7 linked regions of the Oryctolagus cuniculus genome follow. The protein of the gene in region 2 interacts with the protein of the main gene of each other region in a pairwise test. Links are inferred from orthologs where the notes say so. Each region holds a gene or a part of one and is shown on either strand. Other genes may lie near its edges. The genes, in order: P4HA3, NDN, SERTAD3, GKAP1, CCDC136, MKRN2 and FAM131C.

Region 1 (3,943 bases), on a different chromosome or scaffold from region 2:
ATGGATAATAAATAAATGTGATACATCTGCACAATAGAATATCACTGGGCTATAAAAAATAATTAACTACTGCTATATCCAACAACATAGACGGATCCTAAAAACTATATACAAGAAGCCAAACATAAAAGGCTGCATATTTTATGATTCAATTTGTATGAGACTTCTAGAAAAGGCAAAACTGTAGAGTTAGAAAGTCGGTAACTGTTGTCCAGGGTTGAGGTGGGAGCAGAAACTGACTGCAAGCTTTTCAGGGGATAGAAGTGCTCGGAGATTGGATGTGAGCAGTTGGACAACCGTTAAAATGTACTGCAATTCATTGAACAGTACTCTTAGAGTGGGTGAATTTTATGGTATGTAAATTATATCTCCAACTGTCTACAACAACAAAAGGACTATGTCTCTTTAGCAAATCTTTGAGAATACCAGTCTTATAATCTGTAATATTTTCTATATTAATTTCCTTATTTTAGAGAATCCAAGGATGCAATTAACTGCTCATATAGGTACTTTTGCCACTGACAAGTAGCTCTGTTTTGGTTAGTCTACAGTTAATTTTTATGTATACCTAAGAAATAGTGAAAAAGTGTATGGAGTACCTGTCAGCACAGGTGGTACCTACTCCAACAGGTGTAGCTCGGGACTACAACCCCTCTGGATGCCCCCATTGTACCCCTTCCTGTATCATTCTGATGTCATCCATGTAAAACAATGGCATGTTGTGTTTTCATCTCAGTCACCGAGCAGCCCCCTGTACAGAATGAAGTCCGGGAACCGAGTGGCAACGTTCATGATCTATGTGAGTCTTGCTCTGGAGGGGCCAGGGCTTCTTTCTGAATGATTATTCATGGATCTCTATTTTTAAAAACTGGTTTCCAAAAAGATTTCACCTATTGATTTTATCCAGTACTCAAGAGAAAAGTCTCCCAGAATGTTGTGTCAAACAGCATTTTTATTAGCTATTATAGGAGCTAGAAAGAAAGACCAGATGGCCCCCACCCTCCTCTAGCCTACACTGGGTGGCTCTAACTAGGACCTGGTTGTAGGTCGTGGGTTAGGGTGGCAGGTGGGGTGACACTGACGGCCAAGAGGTGGTGGGATTTGAACCACACAGGCCTCCCTGAGGTCCCACATACTAGATGGTTTTGAAAAGCACAGGCCTGCAGGTGAGAGTGTGGAAGGGAGAGGGAAGGAGGAGTCCCAAACCATGCCCCTCTCATGGCCCTGCAGGCCAACACCACTGCCACCGAGCAGCCTCCCCGAAGGGCTTCCAAGTATTTCTCCCCGAGTAGAAATCGCGGTCCTGGGAAGGAAGCGGTGCAGGAACATCACGATGAACACGGGACACAGCAGAGAAGGTGGCGGCCCTCTTAACTCTGCCTTCTTCCCCTCGGGCTGCAGCTGAGCTCAGTGGAAGCCGGAGGAGCCACGGCCTTCATCTACGCCAACTTCAGTGTGCCAGTGGTGAAGGTGAGGAGCTCATGCAAGCGCCCAGCTGACCCTCCCTGCCCTGCTGGCCAGCCCCTGAGCTGGCTCTGGGAGGGGATGGGAAGAGGTTTCCCCCTGCCCATGGCTTTTCCTGCGACCACAGATTGTTCCCCGCTCCTCTGTGTTATTTTGGTTGCACTTGCATTACAAGTAGACGATGGCACGTCCAACTGCCCTGCCACTGCAGAGCTCCCCCAAGTTAAGAAACCCACCTGGGGCTGGAGCTGCTGTGTGGTGGGCGAAGCTGCAGGCTGTGAGGCCGGCATCACTCATCGGAGCCCCAGTTCTAACCCCAGCTGCTCTGCTTCCAATCCAGCTCTCTGCTGATGTGCCTGGGAAAGCAGCAGAGGAGGGCCCAAGGACTGCCCTTCCACTGCCACGCATGTGGAAGACCCAGATAAAGTCCCTGGCTCCTGGCCTAACCCAGATGAGCTGTTGAGGCCAATTAAGGAGTGAACCAATAGTTGGAAGATATCTCTCTCTCTCTCTCTCTCTCTCTCTCTCTCATTCTTTCTCTGTCTCCCCCTCTCTATCATTCAACCTTTCAAAAAAACAAGATCTTTTAAAATCAAAAAGAACTCGGTGTGAGTCACCTTAGGCTCCACTAGTGACCAGTTCCTTCAGTCATTTGCTCATCCAACACTGAGAGCTAGAGACATCGAGCACCCAGAGGAAAGCCCCAGCACTCCCTCTAGCGCGCGCAGAAAAGTGGTCGTAGGGAACAAGATGCTGCGGTTTGAGCTATGGAAGACGGAAGCTGGGCATACAGGAGGGTCATGTGCTGGGTGGCCTGTTTAGCAAACGGCTATTTCCTCCAGATTTCAGATGGGACTCCCCGCAGCCCTGAACTAGTTCGGGAATGCAGTGAGGACGAGGTCACGCCTATAAGGCACTCGGCACCGTGCCAGCTCATCCTAAGCACTTGGAGAAATAGACGCTGGGGATCTGCAGTTTGCTAGGGGGGTTGGAAACACGGAGGCTGCCGTTGCTTCCTTCACTACCTGGGCCGTTGTCTACTTCTGATGGCTAAGGCTGAAGTCAGTCTGCAGGAAGGGTATAGGACACAAAGCCCGAGCATGTGTGTGTGTGAGGAGAGCACACAGGATGTGGAGTCAGAACACCTGGGCTTGGGGCCTAACTGCTCCTTCTTAGCCTCCACTTCTTTGCAGGGAGATGGGATTTCAGTAGTGCCTGTGTCCCAGGGGAGCGTGGGAAGACAGGCATCCGACTCCGTGGCTGATGTTCTAGGGGGAAGTTTGTTCCCCTGGTAGGTTTGTCGGGTGTCATCCCTCACAGATCCCATGACTCCCATGCTTTGCTCTTAGCACTCGCTACTCTGTCCTGGTCTGTTTCATGTCTCTCTCTACTGTCCTGATTTGTTTGTGTCCCCAAGGCCAGGAGCAGGGCAGGCCCTCCACCAGCCAGCCACGTGTGAGTGAGCCAGTGTCCACACATGCTGCTCTGTGTGCATGCCTTGTCCCCGGGCTGCACAGGGCAGCGGTGTCTTTAATGACCCTAAGCACCGGCCCTTCCCCTGCATGTCCGGAGGGCCAGGGGCCTGGGCTGAGCCTCCCTCTTGTTTTCAGAATGCAGCGCTGTTTTGGTGGAACCTGCACAGGAGTGGCGAAGGCGACGGGGACACACTTCATGCTGGCTGTCCTGTCCTGGTGGGAGATAAGTGGGGTAAGCCCTGCCTTTCTGGGAACAACCAGCTGAGGGTTGCAGAGTGGAGTGAGATAGGGGCTGGGTGGGAGATAGCATAGCTGGCCCCCCATCCCCACTCCACCCCACCCTCGCTTCCAGAAGCTTCAGCACAGTGCCACAGTAAATGAGATGATCAGGTGACCAATCAGGTGCCCCAGCAGACTGGGAGATGGCTGGGAGTGGGGGCCCATCACAGACAGGTATCAGGAGGGGGTCCTGCCCTAATTCCTGAGTACAGCCCAGGAGGACCGGGGTGGTGGGGCTGAACCCCTCTGCATCCTCTACCCCAAGAGACAACCACCCAGCCACTGCCTCCAGCCATCTCGCATCTCCCCCAGGAGGTGGCTAACAAGTAAACGCTAAGCAAGCAGTGGACAGATGTGTTGCTGGCGCATCGTAGCTCTGAGGACTGAGTGAGGTGGAGGAGGGCTCTGGTGCTGAGATAGACACTGCCAAGCCAGCCCTTCTCTGATTACCTAGAAGCAGCTGCAGAGCGGAGGTGGCCTTTTAGAATGGAACGAGAGTCCACTTTGGGCTTTGCAGTAGTCAGGACCTCTTGGGCTTTTCCCAGAGGACAATGCCCTCCTGGCTATTTACCCCAGGGAAACAGCTCCTTGTGAGTTCATCGCGGGGTGGGGACTAGAGTGCAGAATTTGAGGAGGCGCCTGCCCGCGCTCCTAGGCATGGCCTCTGTTTGTTCACTAGTGAGCTTGCTCTTTTGTTGGTCCTGCTCCCTCCTAGTGGCCAACAA
Region 2 (3,853 bases):
AGGAGCTAAGAGTGAAAGTTAAGTTTTTAAAAAATGAATAAACAAACTAAAACCAGGAGGTACAGGTAGAGTTGTAGGTTGAGGGGCACGAATGTGGGCTCCAGATTCATAGCATAGGTTCAAATCCTAGCACCCTCTTTTACTCAGCTATGTGAGTTACACAAAGTTCATCCCTACTTTGTTCCTGATTTCCTCCATTGTGTGGATGTAATAAGCGACTATTTAGTGAGGGCACTAAATAAAAGGCAAAAGTTAACAAAACACTATTCCTCCCTCTTTAAGAGACCACTAAAGGCAGCTATTAACTTTGATAAAGTATAGAAAATGAAGGCAAGAAATTATCTTAAATATGATCAATTGCTATTTCCTTGTGTTATGATTGTGGAAAATTTTACTTGTTTTGGGGACATTACACATTCTGTATTTCTCAAACCTTTTGAAACAAATATGAGTTGTATTTATAATACAATATAAATACACATTTAGGATTAATCATGAAGTATTTGCATATTTTGTACAATGGGGAATCCCTTCTCATTCCCTATGATACCGTTTATTAAAATGATAGAGTACAGTTCTCCAAAAATGATTGTATCACAAGAATCTTTAATGTTTAAAGTTTACTCATGGTAGGTTGTATATGTGTTTAGTAAAGTGTGCCAAGTGCCCACATTGAGACCATCTCAGTTCAAAACAGTTCACTCCAGATGTTGCTCATGCCCATCAAGGTCATAAAGAGGGGCCTTAGGCTTTTCTCTTGGTTAGGCCAGCTTTGCTGGTGAGTTCTCCACACTCACCAGGTGCATCAATCATACAGTACACATCAATCGTCCCATATAAAAGAATAAGATGGAAAACTTCTCAATGTATTTCATAAGTTTAGCACATCTCTGGTACAAAAAATCCAAGAAAGGTAGCACAAAAGCGAAGCACCAACAGAGCTTACTTATAAACAAACATGCATAAATGCTAGACACTACTTGATAGTACCCAAATGAATACAACATTGCATTAAAAGGTATAAAAGCACTGTACTGATAACTGAAAGGTTACACGTGAAATACTGCACTGTAAATCCTGAATACTCTAAGACCTGCCCCCCACCCTTCCACAGCCCTGGTGGGGGTTGGAAACCATCAATCTGCCTCCAGACCTCACTAGTCCTCAGACACACTGCTTCGGGGGCAGTGGACACTGGGACTGGCCTCCCGCAGAGCTCTGGCCTCCTCCAGAGCTTCTCTGTATCTGGAAGGCCAGGCCTGGGGATCTTTCTTAAAAACCCTGGCCAGGAACTCCATGATCTGCATCTTGGTAATCTCTTGCGTGGCTCGGGAGCCCCAAAAGAACTCATACTCCGGAGGTTCAACATAGGGTACGCGCTGGTACTTCAGGTAATTCTGCTGGACGAACTCCTCGGTGATGAGCTTTCTCACGTCCCCGAAGGTGGAATGCTTCTTCCAGGGCCGCAGCCCCAAGATGCGCAGCACGTTCCAGACGGCGCTCTCTCTGGCGCCTCGGCCCTTCACGTAGATGAGGCTCAGGATCATGAGCAGAAGGCCTGTCATGGGCATCCGGTTGCTCAGTGCCACCCTGTCCAGCTCCTCGGGGTCGAGAGCCTTGACCAGCGCAAACTCCATCGTGTGCAGGCTGGTCAGCCTCAGGTGCAGCCCAAAGACTCGGGCGAGGATGAGGCTGGTGCGCCTGAGGATGCTTCTGCACCATTTCTTGTAGCTGCCAATGACATCTTTCACCATGTCTGGAAACCAGATGATCATCTTCTTCTGGTCCTTGACCAGCACGTACCACATGAGCTCATGTGCCTTCTGCACCAGCTGGGCCGGGGCGGGCGGCGCGGGGCCCAGCTGGGCCGCGCTCGGGGCCTGGTGGGCGCGGCCCTCCTCAGCTGCCTGCAGCAGGGCCTTCGGGTCATCCTCATCGCTCGGGGCCTGGGGCGGCGGCTCGGGCTGTGAGAGCGCCGTCGGGCCTGGAGGAGGGCTCTGTGGCCCTGCGAGGGTCGCTGCAGGGGAGACGGGCGCAGGGCCCCCCGCCGGAACCCCTGGGCTGCTGTGCACTTCGCGGCTGGGGGTCTCGGCTGTCAAGTCGGGGTCGCTCAGGTCCTTACTTTGTTCCGACATGTCTGCGCCGTCTGACAGGAGCAGGGCCTCAGCGTCCCGGAGCTCTTCGAGCCTGCGTTCCCTCCGCGGTCTCCCTGAGAGGAAGTGCGCGTAGCTGCGCGCGGCGCCTTCCGCAGCGGCGGGCAGGGCGGGGCGGCGGCGGGACGACGGGACACTGCGCCTGCGCGTCCGCGGGCCGCGCGATTCGGACTGGGCGGGAGGGGAGGGGCTGTGCGCCCGACGGCGAGGGTCTGAGGTGGAGCCGCTGCTGGCCTGATGGGAATGACCCCGGGTTTCCTGCGTGGACGAGGCGGCCTTGGGGAGGGCAGGAGGGGCTGGGTGGTCGCTGAGGAAGGGGCAAGTTTAAAGGGGAAGATGGTAACTTCAGTTTCCCACGTGGTGAGGTAGAGTTTCTTACAAGGGTCCACCTGGGTTTGTCCAGGACTAAGTGTGACAGGAGCGTCCCAGAGAGAGCTCCCGGTTTCCTGCGACCAAGTGAGAGGAGCAGCTGGGATTCCTCAAGAGAATGTGAATAGTTGGGATTCTCTAAGAAAATATGCGAACTTTGGGAAGATCTGAGACTGGAATCCTGGGAAATACCAGTAAGAGTTGATGAAGTCTCTCCCTACAAAATTCCGAGAGTAGGAGGAGGAAGAGTATAAAATAAGGAGGAATGCAGAATTGGTAAATTCCCTATCAGTCCGTGCAAAATGTGAATGATGCTGGAGATAATGGGTTTAAAACAACTTTGACATTTTTTGTGTATTTTTACATTTTTAATTGACATAATAATTGCACATATTTTGGGGGAACAGGGTGCTATTTCCATAAATATATATGATGTGTATTGATCAAATCAGGGTAATTAGCATATCCACCACTTCCCACATTTTCATTTCTTTGTGTTACGGGACAGTCAAAATCCTTCCATATAGCTATTTTGTAATATATAATTAAAGTATTGTTAATTATAATCACCTAATGTGATACAGAACACTGGAAATTTTTTTGTTGCATTTAATTGTATTTATGTAGCATGTAATTGACTTTTCTGTGTCTCCCTTTCTCTTCTTCTTCCCAGTCTTTGATAACCAGTTTTCTAATCTCACCTTCCATGAGACCAACTTATTTAGCTTTCTACATGTGAGTGAGGACATGTAGTATTTGTCTGTCTGTGCCTGGTGCATATCGATTAACATATTGTCCTCCAGGCTCATTGGTGTTACCTCAACTGACTGATGGCATTCTTTTTCTCTGGCTGAATAGTGTTCCATTGTGTGTATATACCACATTTCCTTCATTCATTCATCTATAAATAGCTACTTATGTTGATTCATTAGTCTTTTGATTATGGATTTTGATTTTCATCTTCCCTTGGGTCACTTTGATTCCATTTTAACTTTTCATCAGGTTTCTATAGGATAAAGATTGCTGTAATTATTAGCACAACTTGTTTGATAATGTCCTTTTCCCTGTTTCCTCAGATCCTTTATTCCCCCTACTGCTGCTCTTTCCACTCAGTGTCCATGTGGAATCTTTACCATCTCACAGGATCGTAAGTGAGAGCAATGGAGTTGTCTGCAATGGGAGCCTCACCTACATCCTTTTCAATACTTTTTTTAAGCGTAAGTCCCATAGATAATATCTGGTAGTTTCTCTCAAAGTATGAGATGCAACATATGGTTGACCATGTTTCACAGGTATAGAAAACAGATCTAGAGGGGCAGCATTGTGGTGCA
Region 3 (4,473 bases), on a different chromosome or scaffold from region 2:
CCTGCTGAGCAACCCAGCGTCCACACCAAGCAGTGGGTGACCACGATACCCGTGCTGCCTGTTGTTAGGGGACCCACAGCACACACAGTGACAGCCCAGGACCACAGTGGGGGAGACACAGGCAGAGGAGCCGGGGAGGGCTCCCCAGAGGGGACCTTTGAGCTGAGTTCCTCCAGTGAGAGGCACCTGGGAACCGAGGGCACATTTTCAGCGTGAGGAAACAAGTTTAAAGAGCCCGAGGCCTGGGCCAGTGCTGTGGCGTGGCAAGTTAAACCACCGCCTGCAGTGCCCCATCCCATATGGGTGCCAGTTCAAGTCCTGGCTGCTCCGCCTCTGATCAGCTCCCTGCTAATGCGCCTGGGAAAGCAGCAGGGGACAGCCCAGCACTTGGGCCCCTGCCACCCACACAGGACACCCAAGTGGAGTTCAAAGCTCCTGGCTTCGGCCTGCCCCAGCCCTCACCGTTGTGACCAGCTGGGCAGTGAACCAGCAGATGGAAGGTCTGTTTTACTCTCCGCAACTCTGCCTTTCAAATAAATAAATCTTTAAAAGGAAAAAAAGCCGGAGACCTTTCACTCTCCATGTTGAGGGCTTGCTGTGCACCTGGCGCTGTTGTAGGCCCCTGGGGTGCAGCAGGGAAGGAAGACAAAATTCCTGCGAACGCGGAAACGAAGCCCGAGTGAAACCATTTCACAGAAACTAGCAGCGAACCCGGGCGAAGGACAGACCGGGAACGCTTCGGGGCTGACGAGTTTAGATTCTGCCTCTGGGGCAGCGGGGAGCCGCGAGCAGCCCCTGAGAGAGGGAGAGACCACGAGAGGACGTGCCGCTGAGTCCTGGGGACCGGGAGGCCCCCGGCTGTGCGGGAGGGGCGGGACCGCGGTCACCCAGGCAACGCAGGCCGCGCCTAACTATTGGCTGGCCTTTAGCTGCGTCATCCCCCAGCGCCCAGCCGCGCCCGGGCTCGGAGCCTCGGGGGCGTGGCCTCCGCGAGTGACTCGGCCCCGCCCGCCCGGAAAGCGGAGCCGACAGCGGCGTAGCAGCCGGTCTTGCCGGGTGACCGGTCCGAGCTGGACAGGAAGGGACGGCAGAGAGCAGCGCTAACGGCCCGGGAGCGAGGGCCGGGGCTGAGCTGCAGGGAGCGGTTTCGGTGCGCCCGCCCCCCCCTCCCTCCACACGTGGCCCCGCCCCGTCCGAGTCGGAATCCTTTAAATGGTCCTGGGCGCTCCCGAGGGGCGGGCGGCGGGGGCAGCTCGGGAGTCCCGCGGCGGCTCCGCCCAGCCAATCGGCGTGCCGCGGCGGGCAGGCTCCAGCCAATCGCAGCTCGCGGCTCGGCTCCGGGGCCGGGCTGGGCGGGCCCGAGGCCAGACGGAGAGGCCCCGGGGCAGCGAGCGCGACTCCTACCCGGCGCTGGTGGGGCGCGGCGCGGCGGGCGGAACGGAGCTGGTCGCTGCGAACTGGTAGCCGAGGTGAGCGGCGGCCGCCCGGCTCAGAACCACACCCGGGGCTGGGGGCGGTGGAGGCGGGGCCTGGGCAGTAGAGGAGGGCGCTGATGGAGGGCGACTGGTAGGGGCTGGGGGACCCTGGACGGGAGGCGAGATGCTTTAGGCAGGATTTTCAAGGGGCGAGAGTTTGAGCTGCGACTCGAGATGTTTGGAGAAGCGAGAGAACCAAGGCGAGGAACTTTTGGGGCAGGGAATCCGAGGACTAGGACAGTGTTGGACTCCCGGGTGGGTTGAATTCGGGGCTCTGTGGCTTCCTGGGAGAAGATGTGAGAGGTCTTCCAGGGCTGGGACACCGAGCAGTCGGAGAAGCAAGGGGACCGGCTAGAGCCGGGGGTTCTCGGAGACCCCGAGACGCAGAGGCGGGCAGAGGGCGCTGAGGAGAGAGCTCGGTCTTCGGGGCTTGAAGCGGGACGCGGAGTTTGGAAAGTGAGAGGACGGAGTTGGGGGTGTGCCTCAAAATTAGGGCGCGCCGTCTCCCGTACCGGCCGGGTCGGAGAGCGCTCGTCGTCTCTGACCTGGGTCCCTGCACCCCGGGATAGTGGGGGGGAGAACTGGGATCCGCGGAACCCGCAGAGTGGGTGGGGGAGGGGCGCTCCGGGCGTGGAGGCACCGGAGGGGCGGGGCGCGGCAGGCGCCCGGCAGCTGGACGTCCGGGTTCCCATCCCCCACCCGGCCGGGCCCCTCTGCGCATGCCCTAAGGGAGGGCGGGGCCGTCCTCCGGTCGGCGAGCTGAGCCCTCTGGGGACTGTAGTGCCGCTACCTGGCGGCTGTTGGCCCGGGCTTCCCAGAAGCCCCCGGGCCAGAAAGGGGCGTTCCTGCGCGGCGATCTGAAGCCGTGGGAGGGGCGGGGCCTGTGGCGGCGCCACGGTCTGGTTGGCTGGGGCCCCCGGGGGCGGGGCTTGGCTAAGTTTCGTGGCGGCGAGTTTTCCTCGGGGCGCGCAGTGGGGGAAGGCCCGAGCGCGGGGAGCGGGGATGATTCGTTCCCCTCTCGTGAGCGCGTCCGTTCGTTAGGGAAGAGGGCATGGACAGAAATGCCCTGCCTGCGAGAGAAGAGTCAGGGCTCGGAGGGGCCCTAACGGAGCTCCAGGCAGCTCTGTGGGACACGCACTCAGCGGAGTAAGTGGCGCCTGAGCGCTTTGTGTGTGCTGGGCCTGGGCACGTGGGAGCTCCCAGACGAGGCGGTGAGAAGCAGTTTTACAGACGAGGAGACTGAGGCCAGCGTCACGCAGCTGAGCAGTGTCCAGGGCACAGGTCAGCCCGGGATTCCCCACTTGGATTCCCCACTTGCAGTCCAGGTCTCTGCGCCTGTCTGTGGGTGACTTGCCTGAAGAAGTGAGAGTTGTGGAAGAACGGTTTCTAGGGTTCGGAAGGACTTCAGTTAGGACCTTGTTCCACAGAGGGGGATGCAGGGTCACTGAGGGCAACAGGCGGGGGCGGGGGGGGGGATCCGAGCCCAGCTTTGCTGGCATCCTGATCACTTTCCTCCCCTCCTTAGCCTGTGGAGTTCAGGTTCTCTCGCTTCTACAGATGAGTAAACAGGTTCCGGTCATTAAAACATTCACCATCAGCTGCGTGAGCCTGCCAGAGAACGCGGGGTTGGAACCGGCCCTGGTGCGTCTGACCTGACCCTCTTCCCTCCCCAGGGCACCGTCATGGTGGGGGGCCTGAAGAGGAAACACTCCGATCTGGAGGAGGAGGAGGAGGAGCAGTGGGCCTGGAATCCAGCGGGCCTTCGGAGCTACCAGCAGGCCCTGCTCCGCATCTCTCTGGACAAAGTGCAGCGCAGCCTGGGCCCGCGCGCCCCCAGCCTCCGCAGGCATGTCCTCATCCACAACACCCTCCAGCAGCTGCAGGCCGCCATCCGCCGGGCCCCCGCGCCCACCCTGCCCCCCGAGCCCCTCTTCTTGGGCGAGGAGGATTTCTCCCTGTCGGCCACCATTGGCTCCATCCTCAGGGAGCTGGAGACCTCGATGGACGAGACCGAAGCCCCGCAGGGCCCCCCGGCTCCCCCGGGCCTGCAGAATCCAGTGCTGCCCCAGCCGGATCCGGTCTTCCTAGAGGCTCTGAGCTCCAGGTACCTGGGGGACGCGAGCCTGGACGACTTCTTTCTGGACATCGACACCTCTGCGGTGGAGAAGGAGCCAGCACTGGCCCCGCCGGAGCCCCCTCACAACCTCTTCTGTGCACCAGGCTCTTGGGAGTGGAATGAACTGGATCACATCATGGAGATCATTCTGGGGTCCTAAGACACTGACTGGGGGGCCTTCCTCTGGGCGGGCTGGATCCCCGGGTACCACTCTGTGTGTTTTGCTGGGGGCTCAAAGCAGGGACTGTGGCCCCCTCGCCTCCCATGTCAGGGTTCCACAAACAGTCTTGCATGTGTGTGTGTCTGGTTAGCGCAGCCTTCTGTGAAGGTGCGTCTTCCTGAGTTAATTTATCTCTTCCAAATGCCTTAACCAGGACTGCCTCTGGGAGTCCGATTTCCCACTTACACATTTCTTCTGCCTCTCCCTCCACTTCCTGCTCCTCTTGTGACCCCTGGCGCCCTCAGGGCAGATGAAGCTGGGCCCATCAGAGGGGGCAGGGATGTGCTGCCAGGTTGCCATGGAAACCCAGTCTCTGCCTCTGGCACCTCGAGGTAGGGGGAGGAGCTGGTCTTCTCCCCCTGGGCTGAACCCCTCTTCCTTGGCAGGACCCCAGTCCCGGCAGCCTCTGATTCATAACCAGGCCGGACCACGTGCAATAGAGTGGAAACCAAACTTCTCCATGCCGCATTATTTAAAAGAAAGGCAGGGTTTGTGGTGGCTTTTTTTATTGTAATTTTTTAAAAATAAAAGTATTTTGGAAGGAAAGGGATTGTTTTCTTTCTGAATGTTACTGGGACAGCGAAAGGGACCTGTACATGCCCTAGACATCTGCATCCGACCCGTACCAGAGCTGGGACAGCAATGTCACTGGAGGAGAGGGT
Region 4 (4,453 bases), on a different chromosome or scaffold from region 2:
GATTCTGCATAATCCTGGTTCCACCGCTTCTTTTCCCCCTCTCTGGGCTGGTTTCCCTCATCTACATCAGAGCTCCTCAAACTCGGACGCGGTACAGACCTCTCAGGCTTCTGGGGTGGGGCATGAGGGTCCACGTGTCTCACGGATGCCTCAGTGATGACCACGCTGCCGGGCCATCCGCCAGACCGTGAGCAGCAAGTCTCTCAATACGTCCCGAGACCCTGTTCTTCCTCACGGTGAGACTGCTGCCAGACAGAGGAGCAGTCCCCGATCGGTGCCTCGCTCAGTCCTCTTCCCGGTATTCCAAGCCTTTACTCCTAATTTCTTAGCGCCGCTTCTACCTGGCTGTCTTGACAACCCTTCAAACCCTTAAAATGTCCGAATCTAACCTGATCGTCGTCTTTCAAAATTCCACCTGCGAACCTTCTCTGTTACAACCGTTTCTTTTCTAAGTATGTACAAACTCAAATCTCTGCCATCTTTGATTTCTCTCTTCCCACGCACAACCAATGAGTCGGTGGCTAGATTCTTCAGATTACTGTTTCTACACCGCATCTCAACCACACTCCTCAATTCCTCCTGTCCAGGTCTCTGCCAACGTGTCTGCATACCTTCACAGAGACATCAGCAGCCCCAAGGAAGAGACGTCCTTTTCTTCTCCCCAGACTGTTGGTAAGGCAAGCTACGAAGTGACTACAGACCCCTGCACTTGCTATCTGCGGCCCCCACTCTCCTGTTGTCTCTGCCACTTCTCAACACACCCAGAGGCTCTGCCGGTTCCGCACACACAACTCTGATTCACTTCGGGAGGCCAGGGGGTTCTGCCTCTCCACTCCTGCGGGCCCACCCCAAGGCCGTCTCCTCCGCGCTGCCTTCCTGCCCGATGCCCCTTGGTCCTCCTCAGCGTGCACCTGCCCCGCTTTCATCTCCCTTTTCGTCCCTACTTTTTGGGGGTGAGGGTAACATACCCCTCCACGCCTCTCTGTAGCGCCGAGGTGTGTTATTCTACGGGGGCAGGGGTCCAATCACGTCACAGTGATTCAGGGTCGCGGGAGGCGGTGGCAGGCGTCCGGCCGGTCTCCGGGGTCCAGCCCCGGCACGTCGTGGCCGGCAGGCGTTGGGTCTCTCACCGTCGCTCCGGGATGCGGAGCGTGACGCCACAGAGACCCGGGCACGGTGCGTCACCGCCCGCACAGAGCCCTCCGGGCGGGCTCGCCTCCGGCACCGGCACTCGCAGCGCCGGCCCCGCTTCACCGAGCGCAGGTCGGCCCCGCGCCCTCGGCCCCTCGCGCCGGCCCGGGGCCCGCTCACCGCGCGCTCGGCGATGCTGCGGGGGCGTGGCCCGCGAGGCCGCCCGCCTCCTCCCGCCGCTCCGGGACGGCGCCTCTCCCTCTCTCTCTCTCTCCCTCCCCGTGACCCCGAGGACCGCCGCGCCGCCGCCTACGTGAGACGTTTGGACCCTGCCCGGCCCCCGTAGCTCCCCTTCTCCAGCAGGTGGTTCTAGTCCTCCCTCTTCCCTCAACTCGGGGCGCGCGCGTCCACCCGCCCGCCTGCGGACCCCGCGCCAGCGACGCCCGTCAACCGAGCAAATAAACAAACCCCAGCGCGGCGGCGGCGGGCGCGCAGGCCCCGCCCCCCGCCCGCGGCTCTCACGCCGGCCCTCCGCCGGGCTTCCCTCCCGCGCTCGCTCCCTCGCCCGCCCGCTCGCTTCCCCGCCCCTCCCCGCAGCTGCGGCCGCGCTGGCCGGCCCGGGACCCGTTCGCGTCCCCGCGTCCAGCCCGGCGGGCCGACGCGCGCCCGCGCCCCGCCCCCGCCGACACTTGACCCTGCCCAGTCCCAACGCCCAGTGCGGCGGCCACCTCAGGAGCTGCGGGAGACGCGGCGGCCGCTGAGGCCCGGTGAGTCCGCGGACGCCGGCCGGCCGGCCTCGCGCCCCTCAGGGCGGTTGCGGCGGTTCGAACGCGCCCTCCCGAGCGCCCACCCTCGGGCTGGTCGTGGTGAGGACGCGGCCCCTGAGGCCGCCCGCTTGGCCAGAGCCGCTGGGCAAGAGGGCGCGGGAGGGCCGGGCTCTCGGGCAGGGCCGCGGGGCGGCCGCTCGGCGCAGGGCTCGGGGGCGCAGGGGCCGCACCGCAGGCCGCGGGCCTGCACCCCGCCGGGGGCCGCCCGGCTGACAGGTGCCGCCGCCCCCGTCCCCGTCCCCGGGCCGCCCGGCGCCTGGAAATTTCTGGAGCGACGCCCCGACCCGCTGTTTTCCACCCTTCGCAGCGCCTGCAGCCCGCCTCGGGGCTCGCCGGGGCCCTGGTTCCTCCTCGGCGTACTTTGCGAGTAAGTTTGGAAGCATCGGGTGAGATTTGGCTTTGGTTCACGCAGGAGGTATAGTGAATTACTTTTTGAATATCGAGCTCCTCCTCCCTGCCAGCTCTGGAAACGGAGCGAGGCGAAAATTTAGACTTTTTTTTTTAATCTTTGATTTTTCTTTTTTTTGGGGGGGGGGCTGTTATTTGGCACAGTCTTTCAGGTTTTTTTTTTTTTTGGGGGGGTCAGATTTCTAGCATTTACGTGTTTACTGCATGTTGACGGGTAATGACAAAAGTAGTTTCTCTGTCCTTTTCTCTCCACGCTCGCTCTCCCCCTTTTACGTATCGGCCTTAGCCAGATTTTTCACTTGAGTAGATGCTAACGCTGTCTTAAGAAGTGCTGATGAAAAATCATCTTTCTTATACCGAAAAGCCAGTGAGTGATGTTTTCTTTCCTACACCTTTCAGCGATGTCTCTGCGTGCGTCTAACTGAAATAATCAGTTTAAAACACTTGACGTGTGTCGCTGTGAAAATGAGAAATAGGGCGTTGAAGTATTAGAATCCTTGATCTATAGGACTTAATAGGATCTATAGGATTTTTTTTTTCCTCAACCGTTGGTGGCTGTCAAATTCTCATTAATTAATTAATTAATCGTCTATTAATTGTCATAAGTGGTCTTGGTAACTTTTACTGAGAGACGTCAGCCCTCTGGAGAAAATCAAGAGCCTACAATTGACCAAGCGAACACTGGGGACGGGTGAAAAGACCAGGGCTTTCTTATCCGTGACAGAAGCCCCTGGGTCCCCTCTCAGTGCCTGCTCCTACTCCTTGCTTTGATTTCTCAGCCCACAGAAAATTGGGAGCTGTGGATTTAGGGGATGCAGTACTTAATTGTGAGGAGAAAATGGAGTTTGGGCACGTTATGTTGTTTGTTTGCAGTAGGTGGGCTGTGAGCAGGTGGGCTGTGAGCAGAGTTCCTGTATGCACTTGGCCGTTTGCTGTGGACATTAGTTTTTCAGAAGTCAAATCGAATGATACAGTCGTGTTAGGAACAGAACCTGAAGTAATGAATTGTTTTAATGTCTTAAATCAGTGATGTCCAGTGCCGTTTCATGTTATCTCCAATCTAAACTGCATTTCAGTGAGGCCACGCCAGTTGGCGCCTACATCATATTTATTCTTTTTTTTTTTTTTTTTCTTTTTGAGTGAGGCTTTCTGGTTGATGGTATTCCTTTTATTAGAAGGGAAGTGGGGAACCCACGTTTTGGTATAACAGCTTAAGCTGTGGCAGGCATCCCATATGGGTGCTGGTTTGTGTCCTGCTCTGCTTCTGATCCAGCTCCCTGCTAAAGGCCTGGGAAAAGCAGTGGATAATAGCCCCAGGGTTTGGGCCCCTGCCGACCAAGTGGGAGGCCTGGATGTAGCTTCAGGCTTCTTGCTGGCCCTGCTCCTTTGGACTGCCTCAGCACTGGCCTTTGTGGCCTTCTGGGGAATCAACCAGCAGATGGAAGATCCCTCTCTGTAACTCTGACCTTCAAAGTAAATAAATCTTTAAAAAAAGAAAGGCAGGGGACAGGGATACGGAGCCAGTGTTGTGGTCCAGCCAGATAGGCTGCCACTTGAGACTGTTCTGAGTCCTGGCTGCTCTGCTTCCAGTCCAGCTTCCTGCGAATGCACCTAGAAAGACAGCAGACCTCGGCCACCTGGTTGGGAGACCAGGATGGGTTTCCTGGCAGACCTTAGGCCTGGTCCAGACTTGGCTGTTGCAGCCATTTAGAGAGTTAGCCAACGAATGGCAGAACTGTCTCTCCCTCTATCAGTCTGCCTTTCAAATAAATAAATAAATCTGAAAAGAAAAAAAAATCAAAAGGGATATATTTGATTGCTCTGAGTTTTTGAGGTGCCCTAATTATGATCTGCTGGATTGAAATATGGTGGCTGTCTTCTTTCCTGACCTAGTGAGGTCACAACTTACAGATGAGATCATAATACCGGAAACCCAAGAGTACAAGTATTTCAGAAGCGCCACTGCTTACTGTTTAGGTAATTCATTTTAAATCTGATGCATCCCACTTCAAGTCAGAACTTTAAAACCAAATATGCTTCCTACACTAGTATGCTTTCAGGCAAAGTTAGTTGTGATGACTAATTGG
Region 5 (3,358 bases), on a different chromosome or scaffold from region 2:
AGGCCATAGCAGAGAGCTGGATCAAAAGAGAAGCAGCTGGGACTCCAACTGGTGCCCATATGGGATGCTGGTGCCGCACGCGGAGGATTAAGCTACTGCGCCACAGGGCCGGCCCCGACAGTTCCTTCATTAAACTCTTTGGTTAGTTCTTGGAGTGTGCCACCCATTTACTGCCAGGATCCTGACCAACTAAGTAGAACAAACAAGGGAAAAGCCACGAGAGCTCCCACACAGGTCTCAGGGTGTCGTCACACAGATGGGGACACAGGAGCCAAGTCTTTTGGCCCCGCCTCCCAGCAGATACCCAGTCCGTTGCATTTCTTTCTGCTTAGATGAATTCCTTGAGATGGGCTGAATAAGCGGAGACAAATCCATCTGCCATTCAGCTGACGGCCCAGGGAGCTAGCCTTGTATCTGAGGCCAACTGTAGGGCGAGAGATCACACTGGGGAGCCAGACCCCTGTGTGAGCACTTGGTTAAGGAGGAACCATCCTGTCCTGGTTATGGTGCGAAGCACTCAGCAAATAAAAAGCCACAAGTCTCACGTGATTAGGTTGATATTTAATTACAAGGAACCCAGGTTCTTATACAAGGCAGGAGGTGGGAGCCAATAGTTCCCATAAGGCTTTGCAGCCTGAGTGACTGAGGCCAAGGAGAGAGGGACACATGGGACACATTGGTAGGGTGGGGGCTCTGGTACAGTGCATCCTGCCCAAAGGTGAGAGTGGCTGCTGCTGGGGGTCTGCCCTCTCCACTGGCCCAGGTCCGCCATCACTCCATGAGGCAGAGCTGTGTCTCTTGCGGTCGCATGTTGGGTAACACATACAGAGCCACAGCTGCAATAGCCAAGAACACCATGGGCTTCCACATCCCAAACATGTTCTGTGGGGACCAAAGAAAAGCCGTGAGTGCCCAGCCTTGAACCCGTCCCTCAGCCAGAGACCCCCTGCCTGCTGGTGCCCGGGACACACACCTCCGGGGCACCATGGGTCACCTCATACCTCCTGGGCAACCGTGGAGACCGTGTGGGCCCTGGGCCCTGACACCGCCAGGTCTGTGGCACAGCACATGCTGGCCGCATCCCCTTAGTCCGTGCCTGTATCCATGCCCCTGTCTCTCCCAGTGGGAGAACACTAACTTGTATGTGTGGGAGCAGCCCAGGGGCCAGACTGCAGATTCTCCAAGTGGTTGCAGTGAGAAAGGGGGTCAGCAGAGAGTCAACTGAGGCCTTTGGGAAAAGGGGTGGCACCTCGTTAGCCGTATAGAAGGGAAAGGAACTCAGACTGAGGGGGGAGGGGAGGTGCCCCAGGGAGTGCAGGAAAGTAGGAGTTCTTTGGCAGCCAAACCTGTTATGCAGAATGGAGTTGGTTCAAGGAAGTTAAAAGAAGCCTGATAGTGGCCCTGGGAGGCACATGTCAGGCTCACTAAGACAGCCCCGCCCACGGGTGACTTCCTGGCACGTGTGCTAGAGCCTGCGAGGGAACCCTGCTGGTCGGCGGGACAACAATGATGCCAGCAGAAGACACCCAGAGAGCATCCTCTAGTGCCTGGGAAATCGTCAACGAGAAAATCCATACTCGGGGAAACAGTTCCTGTTCTTAGCTCTTTAACTGTCTTCCTTGAAAGGCGGGCTTTGGATTTTTAGTCGTGAGCTATGGCGCGTACGTGACGCAAGGATGGTTTTAGGTAAGGGTGGAGTAGGGCCGTTCATGCTACCAGCAGCTTCTCAGAGGATAACGGATCTGAAAAGAGGATTTAAGTCCACTCTAGAGGGCAGAGACAACCTCCTCAATCTGAAGACATAGTTGTTGGGAGGAACAGAAGGCACGAGATGGACAGCAAAACCGCGCGGGCGTGGGTACTCAGAGTAACTCACGTAAGCATGAACTGAGAAGGCGGCTAGAAGGGCTACTGCCCGGATGTCGCGTCCTACTGTGCGCAGCTAACCGTGTCAGTGTGGTGTTCTCGCGGGAGGACGGGCAGAAACCCATCAGCCTGGAAGGGTGGACTTCACCCTGGCAGAGGCCGGAGTCCACACCGCGTGAGCAGAGGGAAGCTTCGGGGTCCCGAAGGAGCGCGTCCCACCAGCCTTGCCGACAGCCTGGGAATCGTGTCTGAGATTCCATCAAGCGGTGCGACAGGATGTTCCGTGATATCCTTGCAGATGATACGTGCAAGTAAGAGCAGGCTGATGGTGTAGCCTGCTGCATGACCACCTGCTAGTGATCAAAGGGCTGCGTAAAAGAGAAGCTGGGGCGACAACACACAGGAGACTGGCTCCCCACTCGCAGCCTGGATGAGGGCAGGAGGCATACTTGTCACCCTGGGGGACAATGTGAATACTCAGAATGGAGAATTCTGCCAAGGGACCCAAGACATCGCGTGCAGCAGAGGGTGCTGAACACACGCAGGGCGCGCAGGGGCTTCCTAAACAACACAGGAGGTTATCGAGAGCTCCGTTACCCGGCATTGCATAAACAGAAACGTGGCGTCTTTCCAGTTATGTGGGGGCCCACAGAGGGACAGCGTGCAGAGCGAGAGGAGGTGACACGGACAAACGGGGGCAGAATGCCATGTGCTGCTCATATTCCGTCCTGATGACCCGACTCACGATATCCTGGCTGTATTACGTAGCCTCCCCATGTCTTGCTGTGAGCGTCTATAAATGACAGTATTCACAGTCATAGCTTCCTCATAAGAAGGATGAATTAGTTTCTATAAATCAAGTGACTGCAAGTGGCCAGCTTGTCATATGCATTACGGAGGTGTGTGCTCCTTGCATTATGCATGTAGTATTTCATAGCCTACACAATACTTTCACACTCATTAATTCAGCTGATCTGATCCTCACAAAAATCCCCTGAGGAAGGCAGGGCTTAAGCATCTTTTGTTTACATTTGGAGAAGCTAACGTTGAGATGACGCATTTTGCTCACCAGGACAGAGCCTGGAGGAAGGAGAGAGAGACTCAGCTGAACACCGAGGTGTGGCCAGAGCTCTGGGATCCGCAGCTGCCCCCAGGAGGGCCCTCCTCTCATTGTGACCCGGCCTGGCGGAGGTGGAGCTGGGGAAAGGCACAGCTGAGTGCTCGGAGCCTCACCCTACAGGGACTGCTTAAGACGTGTGCGAGTGTACAGGCGAGCAGGAGGTACAGAGAGACCCCGTCACCAACAGGTGTAAAGAGAGACCAAGAGGAGAAACAGGAACATCCTTAAAAGAAAAAAAAAAAAAAAAAAAAAAAGGACAAGGGTTGACGAAGGGGCAGGTGTACGAAGGGGAGTGGAAACAGGAAAGAACAGAAAGTGGTAAAAAGTGCTACCAACAAATGCTTAGGGGGCTACACGTGGAGCCAACTAGAC
Region 6 (3,943 bases), on a different chromosome or scaffold from region 2:
ACCTCTGGCCTCGTGCCCACGTCTGGGTTGAGCTCTGCATTAGGAAGACCAGAAGAAGGGATTTTTGTCAGCACGGAGCTGCCGTCTTCAGAGTGTGGCTGTCCCGTTGGCAAGACAGCACTCAGTTCAGAGCTGAGCAGTTCCATAGAGCATGCTTCACTGTTTGACTTGAGGTCAGCGTGGGCAACCTCGGCACACAGAGCAGTGTCGGGATGTGGGGGGTGTCATGCCCTGGGACAGGGAGGGCAGAGGCTGCGGGTTCTGGAGAGTCTGCAGCGCCTCCAGTTGGCACTGTGAGGTAGGCAGGTTCCATCCTGAGCAGGGGCCATGGCAGTGGACGTGCTGGGAGGGCAGCCCCAGGGTGCAGGCTGTCTGGGGGGGAGGTGGCCGCGGCACTAGGCTTTTATTCAGCTTGAGTTTCAAATGAGAGGTAGTTTGGCTTAGAGAGAACCCCACTGTTTCTGTTGCCCTCAATGTAACTTGCCTTTGACTCGTGTCTGAGTTTTTTTGCTTTAGTATGACTAGTCCATGTATGACATTTTTAGACATGCCCATTGTAAGCAGCAGTTTTAGTGTTTGATGTGTAAATATATCATGTTCTGTTTTGGCGTTTCCATCTTGCCATGTGTGTGTGTGTTTTTTTTTTGTTTGTTTGTTTGTTTGTTTTTTGCTTCAGCACTCCTACTGAAAGAAGTGGCATTATGAACATTTTAAAGTGTTCTGTTCTTTATTTCTCTTTGGCCTGTTCCAAGGCTGGAACTCCTTTGAGTTGCATGATTGGTTGGTTTTGGCTGATGGCTTCCTGTAGAGATGGGGCGGGTTTCATTTGTGTGCACTGTGTGTGTTCTGTTCAGATCTCTCAGGCTTGGCCGAGGAAAAGGCTCCTCCCAGCGCAGTGAGTAACCCAGGCAGCTGCAGTGACCCCCAGACCAGCCTGGAGGTGAAGCCACATTCCTACCTGGACGCCATCAGGAGTGGCCTCGACGACCTGGAGGCCAGCAGCTCCTACAGCAGCGAGCAGCAGCTGTGCCCGTACGCAGCGGCCGGGGCGTGCCGGTTCGGGGCTGCCTGCGTCTACCTGCACGGGGACGTGTGTGAGATCTGCAGGCTGCCAGTCCTGCACCCCTTCGACCCCGAGCAAAGGAAGGCTCATGAGAAGGTACAGTCGCACAGCTCTGTGTGAATTTCCTGTAAGGTACAGTCACACCGCTCTGTGTGAATTTCCTGTAAGGTACAGTCGCACCGCTCTGTGTGAATTTCCTGTAAGGTACAGTCGCACCGCTCTGTGTGAATTTCCTGTAAGGTACAGTCGCACCGCTCTGTGTGAATTTCCTGTAAGGTACAGTCGCACCGCTCTGTGTGAATTTCCTGTAAGGTACAGTCGCACCGCTCTGTGTGAATTTCCTGTAAGGTACAGTCGCACCGCTCTGTGTGAATTTCCCGTAAGAAATGCAGAAGCTGCTATGCGACAGGCTCGTCGTACGCCCACATCTCTTGCCAATGGGACCTGCATTGTGTACCCAGCTTCATGGCGTCCTAGTTTCAGGTTCTCTTCCCACTTCTCAGTTTGCCAAGTTTGATTTGCTTACAATAAAGAGAAGAGGAGGCTTCAGAGGTGGGGAGCCTTGCACAGTGGAGCCCTCCCTGAAGCCACGCAGTGCTGCGCTGGGAGCCGGCCACGCTCTGTGTTGGAAGCGTTGAGGCACCACATGATAGGATCTGAGAGCGAAATGTAGGAAGGGACCTACAGGTCCCGCATGGCCTGCCCTCCCATGAGGCTTTGTGCTGGGCCAGGGCTCTGACGATGGCAAAGGCACGTAGGAGCCTCGCGGCTGCAGTGCTGGGGGCCAGGTTCCTTCAGGTTCGGGACGGACATGGTGGCCACCACGTTCAGGGCTCCCCTTGTGGGAAAGGGCGTGAGCAGTGCAGCCGAGGCGTCGAGGGCTGAGTGCTGCCTGCCTGTGGACTGGGAGAGGCAGATGTGTGTGAGGATGGGGCTGTCTCCACGTCTTCCCAGGGGACAGGGTGGTGAGCACAGAATTGGAGCTTTCCTCTCCACCTGGTCATCTCACATCTGTGCCCAGTGAGCTCCCCAGGCCAGCTCAGGGGAGGGACTCGGGGCACGCCTAGCGCGTGAACTCATGACGTCACGTCACTGGGGAGAGGTAGTGCCGCTTACCTGTGACTCTCAGGCTGAGGACTGCGGAGCATTTCTGATAGAGCTGAGGAAGGCAGTGGCCAGAGGAGCCAGGAGACCAGAGCTCTGGTCCCAGGAGCTCTGCCACCCCGCCGTGGTCCTTACAACCCGTCTGGACCTCTGGTCTCAGCTCCAAGCTGTGCCAGAAAGCAGGTGGCTGAGAAGACCTTGCTGTATCGGAGAGAGGCCTGCGTGCGGGGCCTGACCCTCCACTTCAGGACGTCCTCACGGGGGCAGCGGGGCAGTGGCCTCTCCTTGGGTGCGCTTCACTGCTGGGTGTCACCGTGTCCTCTCTGCACTGCAGATCTGCATGTCCACCTTCGAGCACGAGATGGAAAAGGCCTTTGCCTTCCAGGCGAGTCAGGACAAAGTGTGCAGCATCTGCATGGAGGTGATTCTTGAGAAGGCGTCCGCCTCCGAGAGGCGGTTTGGGATCCTCTCCAACTGCAACCACACGTACTGCCTGTCCTGCATCCGGCAGTGGAGGTGTGCCAAGCAGTTTGAAAACCCAATCATTAAGTAAGTACAGCCGGGGTGGTGGCCGTTGCCAGCAGGGCCCTGCCTCGCCCTCCCCTCCCCGCAGTGTCTGCGGGGCCCTGGCCCTCCAGCATGGAGAGGCGGTGGCGTCTTGACCTGCTGCACCACAACACTGGCCCTCTGGTTGTTTTTGTTATTCACACTTGAAAGGCAAAAAGGTGGGGGGGGGGGGTGAGGGAGGGGAGAAAGGAGAGTAGCTCCCCTCTGCTGCTTCACTCCCCAACTGTGTGTAGCAGCCTGGGGACCTGACCCAGATCTGTGCCTTGCAGTTAAGTAACACGGAGCAGCTGGATCCCGTTTGTTCCTGCACTCATCTGCTGGTGACCCTCTGGGCTGTCGCCGCTTATAGGCTGTACCTGCTTGTGGGCAAGTCTCTGTGGTCATGCTTTTTCTCCGGATGTGTACCTCAGCGGGAGACCGCGAGACCCCAGGGTCACTTCACAGTTCCCACCAGCAGTGACAGAGCATTCTGCTTTCTGTCCTCACCAACGTGTTTTATTCCCGATTTTAAGCAGCCTCATGGGTGTGAAGCATCTCCTGTGGTCTCAGTTTACATACACCTTGTAGTGAATCATGTGGAGCATTTTTTATGCCCTTCGTGGCCATTTTGGAGAAATGCCTACTTTGTTCATTTTAATGAATTTAGATCATTAATTTGAAAAGTTAAGTTACAGAGAAAACAAGAGAGATCTCTGATTTGATGGTTCCCTCCCCAAATGGCTGCAGTGGTCAGAGCTGGGTCAGGCCAAAGTCAGGAGCTTCTGGGTCTCCTGAGGGGCCAGGGTCCAAGGAGCTGGCATCCAGTGGGATGCAGGCATTGCAGGCATTGCAGGCGGCCCCTGAACCTGCTGCACCACAATGCCAGCCCCTTTACTTTTATTTTTCATGCCTGAGAAGAACCTGTGTTTAACAAGAAATAAGGTTCTTAAAGTCTGTAGTGGTCACACATTAGAGCAAGGAGTTTACTAGTGGAGTGTGCCCAAGAGTTGGAAGTCACATCCCCCTTACCAACCTCATTCTTATTCCAGGTCTTGTCCAGAATGCCGTGTGATATCAGAGTTTGTAATTCCAAGTGTGTATTGGGTAGAAGATCAGAATAAAAAGAATGAGTTGATTGAAGCTTTTAAACAAGGAATGGGGTAAGTGCTTCGAGCCTGCCTGGCTCCCGTTCCAGCCTTTGTCTTTGCCTCTCTAGGCCTTCCCCTCTCT
Region 7 (4,548 bases), on a different chromosome or scaffold from region 2:
GCGCCCTGGCAACCCGAGGGCCATGGCAAGACGGCCCCTGGGTACTGCGGGGCTGAGAGCTGGAGCCGCCTCCTTGACATCAGGAGACCTCCAAGTTTCCAGCAGAAAGTCCTCAGTCTCCACTGGAGACCCCCAGGGTCGGTCTGGCAGGGAGGCCTGGGGCAGGAGGAGCAGCTGTGAACCCCTTCTCTCCTCCCTGCAGGTGGACACTGGTGGAGGCGGTCAGCCCCAGGCAGACAGGAGCCATCCGAATGATCCCCCCAAGGGTGCTGCCTTGAGCAATGCCAGGTGAGGGCAGGGGTCCCCAGCAGCGCTGGGGTCACACAGACCCCCATCTCTGAGCCCCACTTCTGCCCCACAGGGTTGAATGAGAGCTATCTGGGTCAGGAGAGCCAAGGCTCAGGCTGGCCCAGCAGAAGCGCCCAACAAATGGTGGCTTAAAAATAGACGACGAACACAAAACAGCTCCTGGAAACAGCGCGAGTCGCCTTCATCCGGCCCCAATCACCTCCCCGCTGTCCCCAGGGCCTCAAGTGCCTTTTCCCAGGAGGCAAGCTGGCGCCCAGGGCCTCTGCAGCTTCCCCTTGTCCAGCCAAGGTCTGGACTAGCCACCTGCATAGAGCGACACCAAGGGCACCAGCTAAGCCTCTGAGCGCTCGCAACGTGACAGGTTCCAGTCTGAGTGCTGCGCAAGTACTAAGCCATTTCATCCCCCCAGCACCCCCATGACGTCAGTACTGTTAGGATTCCCATTTTAGAGATGAGAACGCCAAGATACAGCTACAAGATCAAGGAACTAGTGAGTGGTTGTGGCAGGGATTCAAGCAAGCAGAAGCCCCCTGCTGGGATGGGGTGGCCTGGGGTGTGGCACGGCATCAGCCTCATGCAGAATGGGGCTCATGGCCCTGGCTTGGGCTTCAGACTGCGTGCCTGGCCCTGGGAAGCACTTGGTGCTGGCGAGGAGACCAGGTGGGGGTCTCAGGAACGCGCGGAAGCCTGCAGCTCCAGAGGAGGAGGACAGGGGCAGGGCGGTGAGGTATAGACACTAAGGACGTCTGCATGTCAGGGCTCAAATCCTAGCTTTGCTAAGTCCTAGCTGTGTGGCCCAGGGCACATCACTCAGCTGTCCCCTGCTTCGGATACAAACAGGGACTATGGTAGCAAATAACCCAAATCAGCTTTTTGCTCCACTACTTTCAGACCAGTACCTGGTAAGGTGGAAGCACTCAGAGAGAGGATGAGTGACAAGTAGAGGGGCAAGTGGCTTCCGCTCAGTGGCTCAGCCACCCAGAGTTCTGGGGACAACGGCAGTCCTCTGCCCTCAAAGCTCCTCTTGCATGCTGAACCTCAGGAGGTGGACAGAACTGCAGGTGCACGTGGGGAGCCCAGGCTTCCAAAGGATGGGTGGAGCCGGCACAGACCTGCCAGGGTGACCGCAAATGGCCCTGACAGAGGGTGCCATGGAGGGAGCACCAGGCAAGGGTTTCCCAGGGCCCAGACCCACAGCATGACCTTGGCGGGCGTCTTGCCCGCTCCCTCTCTGTCCTGTGCTCAGTGAGCCCTCAGCTCACAGGCCAGTCCATCTGGGGCTGGGGCCCTACGGCGCCTGGCACAAGATGGCCAAGGCATGCGGAAGGGACACAGTCTCTGAGGAATCACCAGACCCCAAACACCTAGAGCTGGCCCCACCCGGACCCCTAACACTGAAGCTGGCCCCACCCGGACCCCTAACACCTGGAGCTGGCCCCACCCAGAGACTGCCAGAGCCCTGGAGGTTTCCGGAGCCCCTCGGGCACCGACAGCTGTCCACAGGGACCCTTAACTCCTCTGAAGACTGCTTCCCCTTGCTGGGCAGTGGCTGTCACAGATCAGGTGCTACGCTGGGTCCACGGTGCCAGCACGCAGTAGGTGTCATTACTGTCAGCTGAATCAGGGGTCAGCGAATGAACCTCCCAGGGCCCAGCCTCCTCCTTCCCCTCCCCACCCTGATCCCTCCGGCCCACTCCCCTGAGTGCCCGAGAGCTACCCTCAGAGTCCAGAGGACGGGGAAAGGGTGTCATACTCCTTCCTCCACATCCCTCCCAGGGAACCTCCCGTACACCCGAGCAAGATCTGGGGAGTGATGGACGCGGTAGCCGGTCCCCAAGACCCTGTGGGTGGGCTCAGCGGGTGTGGACTCAATCTGCAGAGCCAGAGCCAAGGCCAAAGTGCCCGGCTCTCCCAGCCCTGCCCCCCCCCCCACTGTGTGGGGAGGGGACTCCCAGGGGAGGAGGGCCCCAAGCCAACACCTTTCCTGAGATGCACTCGGCAGCCTGCCGGGCAGCAGGTGCAACCCTGCACCCACCCCCCAGTCCCAGACAAGAGAGGCAGGCAAGGGCAGCTCGCTCCCCGCTCTGGTGACTGAGGGTGGAGGGTCCGGTGAGAAGCAGAGGAAGGCCCAGGGTTACTGGGAACATCAGGTGTCCTCTGTCCCTTCCTGTCCCCTGACCAAGGAGAGGGTGGGGACGAGGTGGGGGAGGGGCCTTCTTCATAACCTGTTCCCCACCAGAGCCCTTCCTGCCAAGTGGGTTCAGGGGCTGGAGTCGGGTTGGGGGTGGGGGTGAAGCCTGTGCCTTGGGGGTCTGGGGCGGAGGACGCCCCCGCGGCCCCTCCAGAGAAGCCAGGAAGACTCAGGGGCTCCCTCCCTCCCAGGCACACGGCAGGGGCTGCGTGGCTGCTGGGGCGGCCACAACGCGGTGCCCTCGCACGGGCTCTCCGCGCTGCCCCGTGTGCTCAGGGCACCGTGGCCCTGGGGGTGCGGCTGCTCCGGGAAGCACGGGTCGCCGCCCCCAGCCCTTGGTTCCCTCCCAGCGCCCCGGCCCGCGGCCCCCTCACCTCGCGACACGCAGGAGCCCATCACGGGGCCGCGGGGCCGGGCCGCTGCGCCTCGGGTGCGTCGGGCCGCGGGGCGCTCATGTCTCCGCGGGCTGGGGCTGCATGCGCGGCTGGCGCGAGGCAGGCGAGCAGGCGCGCGGGGACCGGGGCTCAGGTCCGCTCGGCCGGGCCTCCGCTGTCGCCGGGTAGCCCCGCAGCCGCCGCCGCCACCAGCGCCACCGCCGCCGCCTTCCGCGCCGCGCCCGCAGCTGCCAGGGCGCGGAGCGGGGGGCGCGGCCCGAGGGCGCCCCGCCCCCGCCCCGCCCCCCGCGCACCTGTTGCCTGGCTTGGCTGGCGGCGGGGAGGGGTCCAGCGGTCCTCAGCGCCTCCCACCGCCTGGTGGCTGGGCTGAAGGTCAGGGAAGGGGCAAGTGGGGGCAGGGAGATTTCTGGCATTTGGGTCACAATGTAAACAACCTCCCCTGAACCGAAACGACAGCCTGACAAGCCGCAGGGTGGGGTGGGGAGTGACACAATAACTCCCATTATGTCCACTTTTTAAAAAATACATTTTGTTTTTATTTGAAAGTCAGAGTGACATCCAGAGAGAGGAAGACACACACACACACACACACACACACGAGAGAGAGAGAGAGAGAGAGAGAGAGAGAGAGAGAGAGAGAGAGAGATTTTCCATCTTCTGGTTCACTCCCCAAATGGCTACAATGGACAAATCTAGGAGCCAGGAGCTTCATCCAGTCTCCCACCTGGATGCAGGGGCTGAAGCTCTTGGGCCACCTCCTGCTGCTTTCCCAGGCACATTAGCAGGGAGCTGGATCAGAAGTGGAGCAGCTGGGACTCGAACCGCCGCCCATATGGGATGCCAGTGTTGCAGAAGGCAATTTCACCTGCTATGCCCAGCGTCAGCCCCCATTATGTCCATTATGCAGAGGAAGACATTGAGGCTCACAGAAGTCAGATATCCATTTATTTATTTATTTGTTTGAATGATAGAGTTACAGAGAGAGGGATGGAGAGACACAGAGAGAGGTCTTCCATCCTCTGGTTCACTCCCTAGATGTCCACAATGGCCATAGGTGCACTGATCTGGAGCCAGGAGCCAGGAGCCAGGAGCTTCTTTCTGGTTTCCCACATGGGTGCAGGGGCCCAAGCACTTGGGCCATCTTCCACTGCTTTCCCAGGCCATAGCAGAGAGCTGGATCGAAAGAGAAGCAGCCAGGACTCGAACCAGCACCCACATAGGATGCCGGCACTGCAGTCGGAAGCTTAGCCAACTATGCCAAAGCATTGGCCCCAGATAACCTTTTTTAAAGATTTGCTTATTTGTTTGACAGAGAGAACAGATTGAACCATCAGCTGGTTCAATCCCCAAATGTCTGCAGCAACTGGGCCTGGGTCAGACAGAAACCAGGAGCCTGGAAATCCATCTGGGTCTCCCAAGCAGATGGCAGGGACCCACGTTCTTGAGCCGCCATCTGCTGCCTTCCCAGGCACATTAGCAGGAAGCTGGATCAAAAATGGGGCAACTGGGACTTGAACTGGCGCTGACACGGGAGGCTGGGTCACGAGCAGTGGCAGCACCACAGCTGGGGCCCAGGAGTCAGGTGCTTTGCGCAGGGGTCCTCCCCTGGGAGGGTCCGAGACCGTGGAGTGTCAGCTCCTTTGTGCTGGTGGC

The links.
Region 1: the proteins of NDN (region 2) and P4HA3 interact in a two-hybrid assay, tested with the Homo sapiens proteins (2 studies listed by BioGRID). The link is inferred for Oryctolagus cuniculus from reciprocal best matches to the Homo sapiens genes NDN and P4HA3.
Region 3: the proteins of NDN (region 2) and SERTAD3 interact in a two-hybrid assay, tested with the Homo sapiens proteins (2 studies listed by BioGRID and IntAct). The link is inferred for Oryctolagus cuniculus from reciprocal best matches to the Homo sapiens genes NDN and SERTAD3.
Region 4: the proteins of NDN (region 2) and GKAP1 interact in a two-hybrid assay, tested with the Homo sapiens proteins (2 studies listed by BioGRID and IntAct). The link is inferred for Oryctolagus cuniculus from reciprocal best matches to the Homo sapiens genes NDN and GKAP1.
Region 5: the proteins of NDN (region 2) and CCDC136 interact in a two-hybrid assay, tested with the Homo sapiens proteins (2 studies listed by BioGRID). The link is inferred for Oryctolagus cuniculus from reciprocal best matches to the Homo sapiens genes NDN and CCDC136.
Region 6: the proteins of NDN (region 2) and MKRN2 interact in a two-hybrid assay, tested with the Homo sapiens proteins (2 studies listed by BioGRID and IntAct). The link is inferred for Oryctolagus cuniculus from reciprocal best matches to the Homo sapiens genes NDN and MKRN2.
Region 7: the proteins of NDN (region 2) and FAM131C interact in a two-hybrid assay, tested with the Homo sapiens proteins (2 studies listed by BioGRID and IntAct). The link is inferred for Oryctolagus cuniculus from reciprocal best matches to the Homo sapiens genes NDN and FAM131C.

Annotation. Positions count from the first base shown.
Region 1 is NC_091432.1:65,520,097-65,524,039, reverse strand, and holds part of P4HA3 (prolyl 4-hydroxylase subunit alpha-3), read left to right. Parts: intron 1-736; coding exon 737-799; intron 800-1,401; coding exon 1,402-1,470; intron 1,471-3,074; coding exon 3,075-3,171; intron 3,172-3,933; coding exon 3,934-3,943. UniProt on the Homo sapiens protein: Catalyzes the post-translational formation of 4-hydroxyproline in -Xaa-Pro-Gly- sequences in collagens and other proteins.
Region 2 is NC_091443.1:13,452,711-13,456,563, forward strand, and holds NDN (necdin), read right to left. Parts: upstream 2,269-3,853; 5' UTR 2,136-2,268; coding exon 1,158-2,135; 3' UTR 587-1,157; downstream 1-586. UniProt on the Homo sapiens protein: Growth suppressor that facilitates the entry of the cell into cell cycle arrest.
Region 3 is NC_091449.1:13,879,293-13,883,765, forward strand, and holds SERTAD3 (SERTA domain-containing protein 3), read left to right. Parts: upstream 1-1,335; 5' UTR 1,336-1,469; intron 1,470-2,384; exon of another isoform or gene 2,385-2,756; intron 2,757-3,000; exon of another isoform or gene 3,001-3,148; 5' UTR 3,149-3,157; coding exon 3,158-3,751; 3' UTR 3,752-4,357; downstream 4,358-4,473.
Region 4 is NC_091432.1:134,781,500-134,785,952, reverse strand, and holds the start of GKAP1 (G kinase-anchoring protein 1), read left to right. Parts: upstream 1-1,352; 5' UTR 1,353-1,494; intron 1,495-1,759; exon of another isoform or gene 1,760-1,898; intron 1,899-1,982; exon of another isoform or gene 1,983-2,373; intron 2,374-4,453. UniProt on the Homo sapiens protein: Regulates insulin-dependent IRS1 tyrosine phosphorylation in adipocytes by modulating the availability of IRS1 to IR tyrosine kinase. Its association with IRS1 is required for insulin-induced translocation of SLC2A4 to the cell membrane.
Region 5 is NC_091434.1:165,016,404-165,019,761, reverse strand, and holds the end of CCDC136 (coiled-coil domain-containing protein 136), read right to left. Parts: intron 883-3,358; coding exon 566-882; 3' UTR 542-565; downstream 1-541. UniProt on the Homo sapiens protein: May play a role in acrosome formation in spermatogenesis and in fertilization.
Region 6 is NC_091441.1:114,689,952-114,693,894, reverse strand, and holds part of MKRN2 (E3 ubiquitin-protein ligase makorin-2), read left to right. Parts: intron 1-854; coding exon 855-1,159; intron 1,160-2,501; coding exon 2,502-2,716; intron 2,717-3,762; coding exon 3,763-3,873; intron 3,874-3,943. UniProt on the Homo sapiens protein: E3 ubiquitin ligase catalyzing the covalent attachment of ubiquitin moieties onto substrate proteins.
Region 7 is NC_091438.1:153,562,547-153,567,094, reverse strand, and holds the start of FAM131C (protein FAM131C), read right to left. Parts: upstream 3,139-4,548; 5' UTR 2,897-3,138; coding exon 2,875-2,896; intron 1,658-2,874; exon of another isoform or gene 1,209-1,657; intron 1-1,208.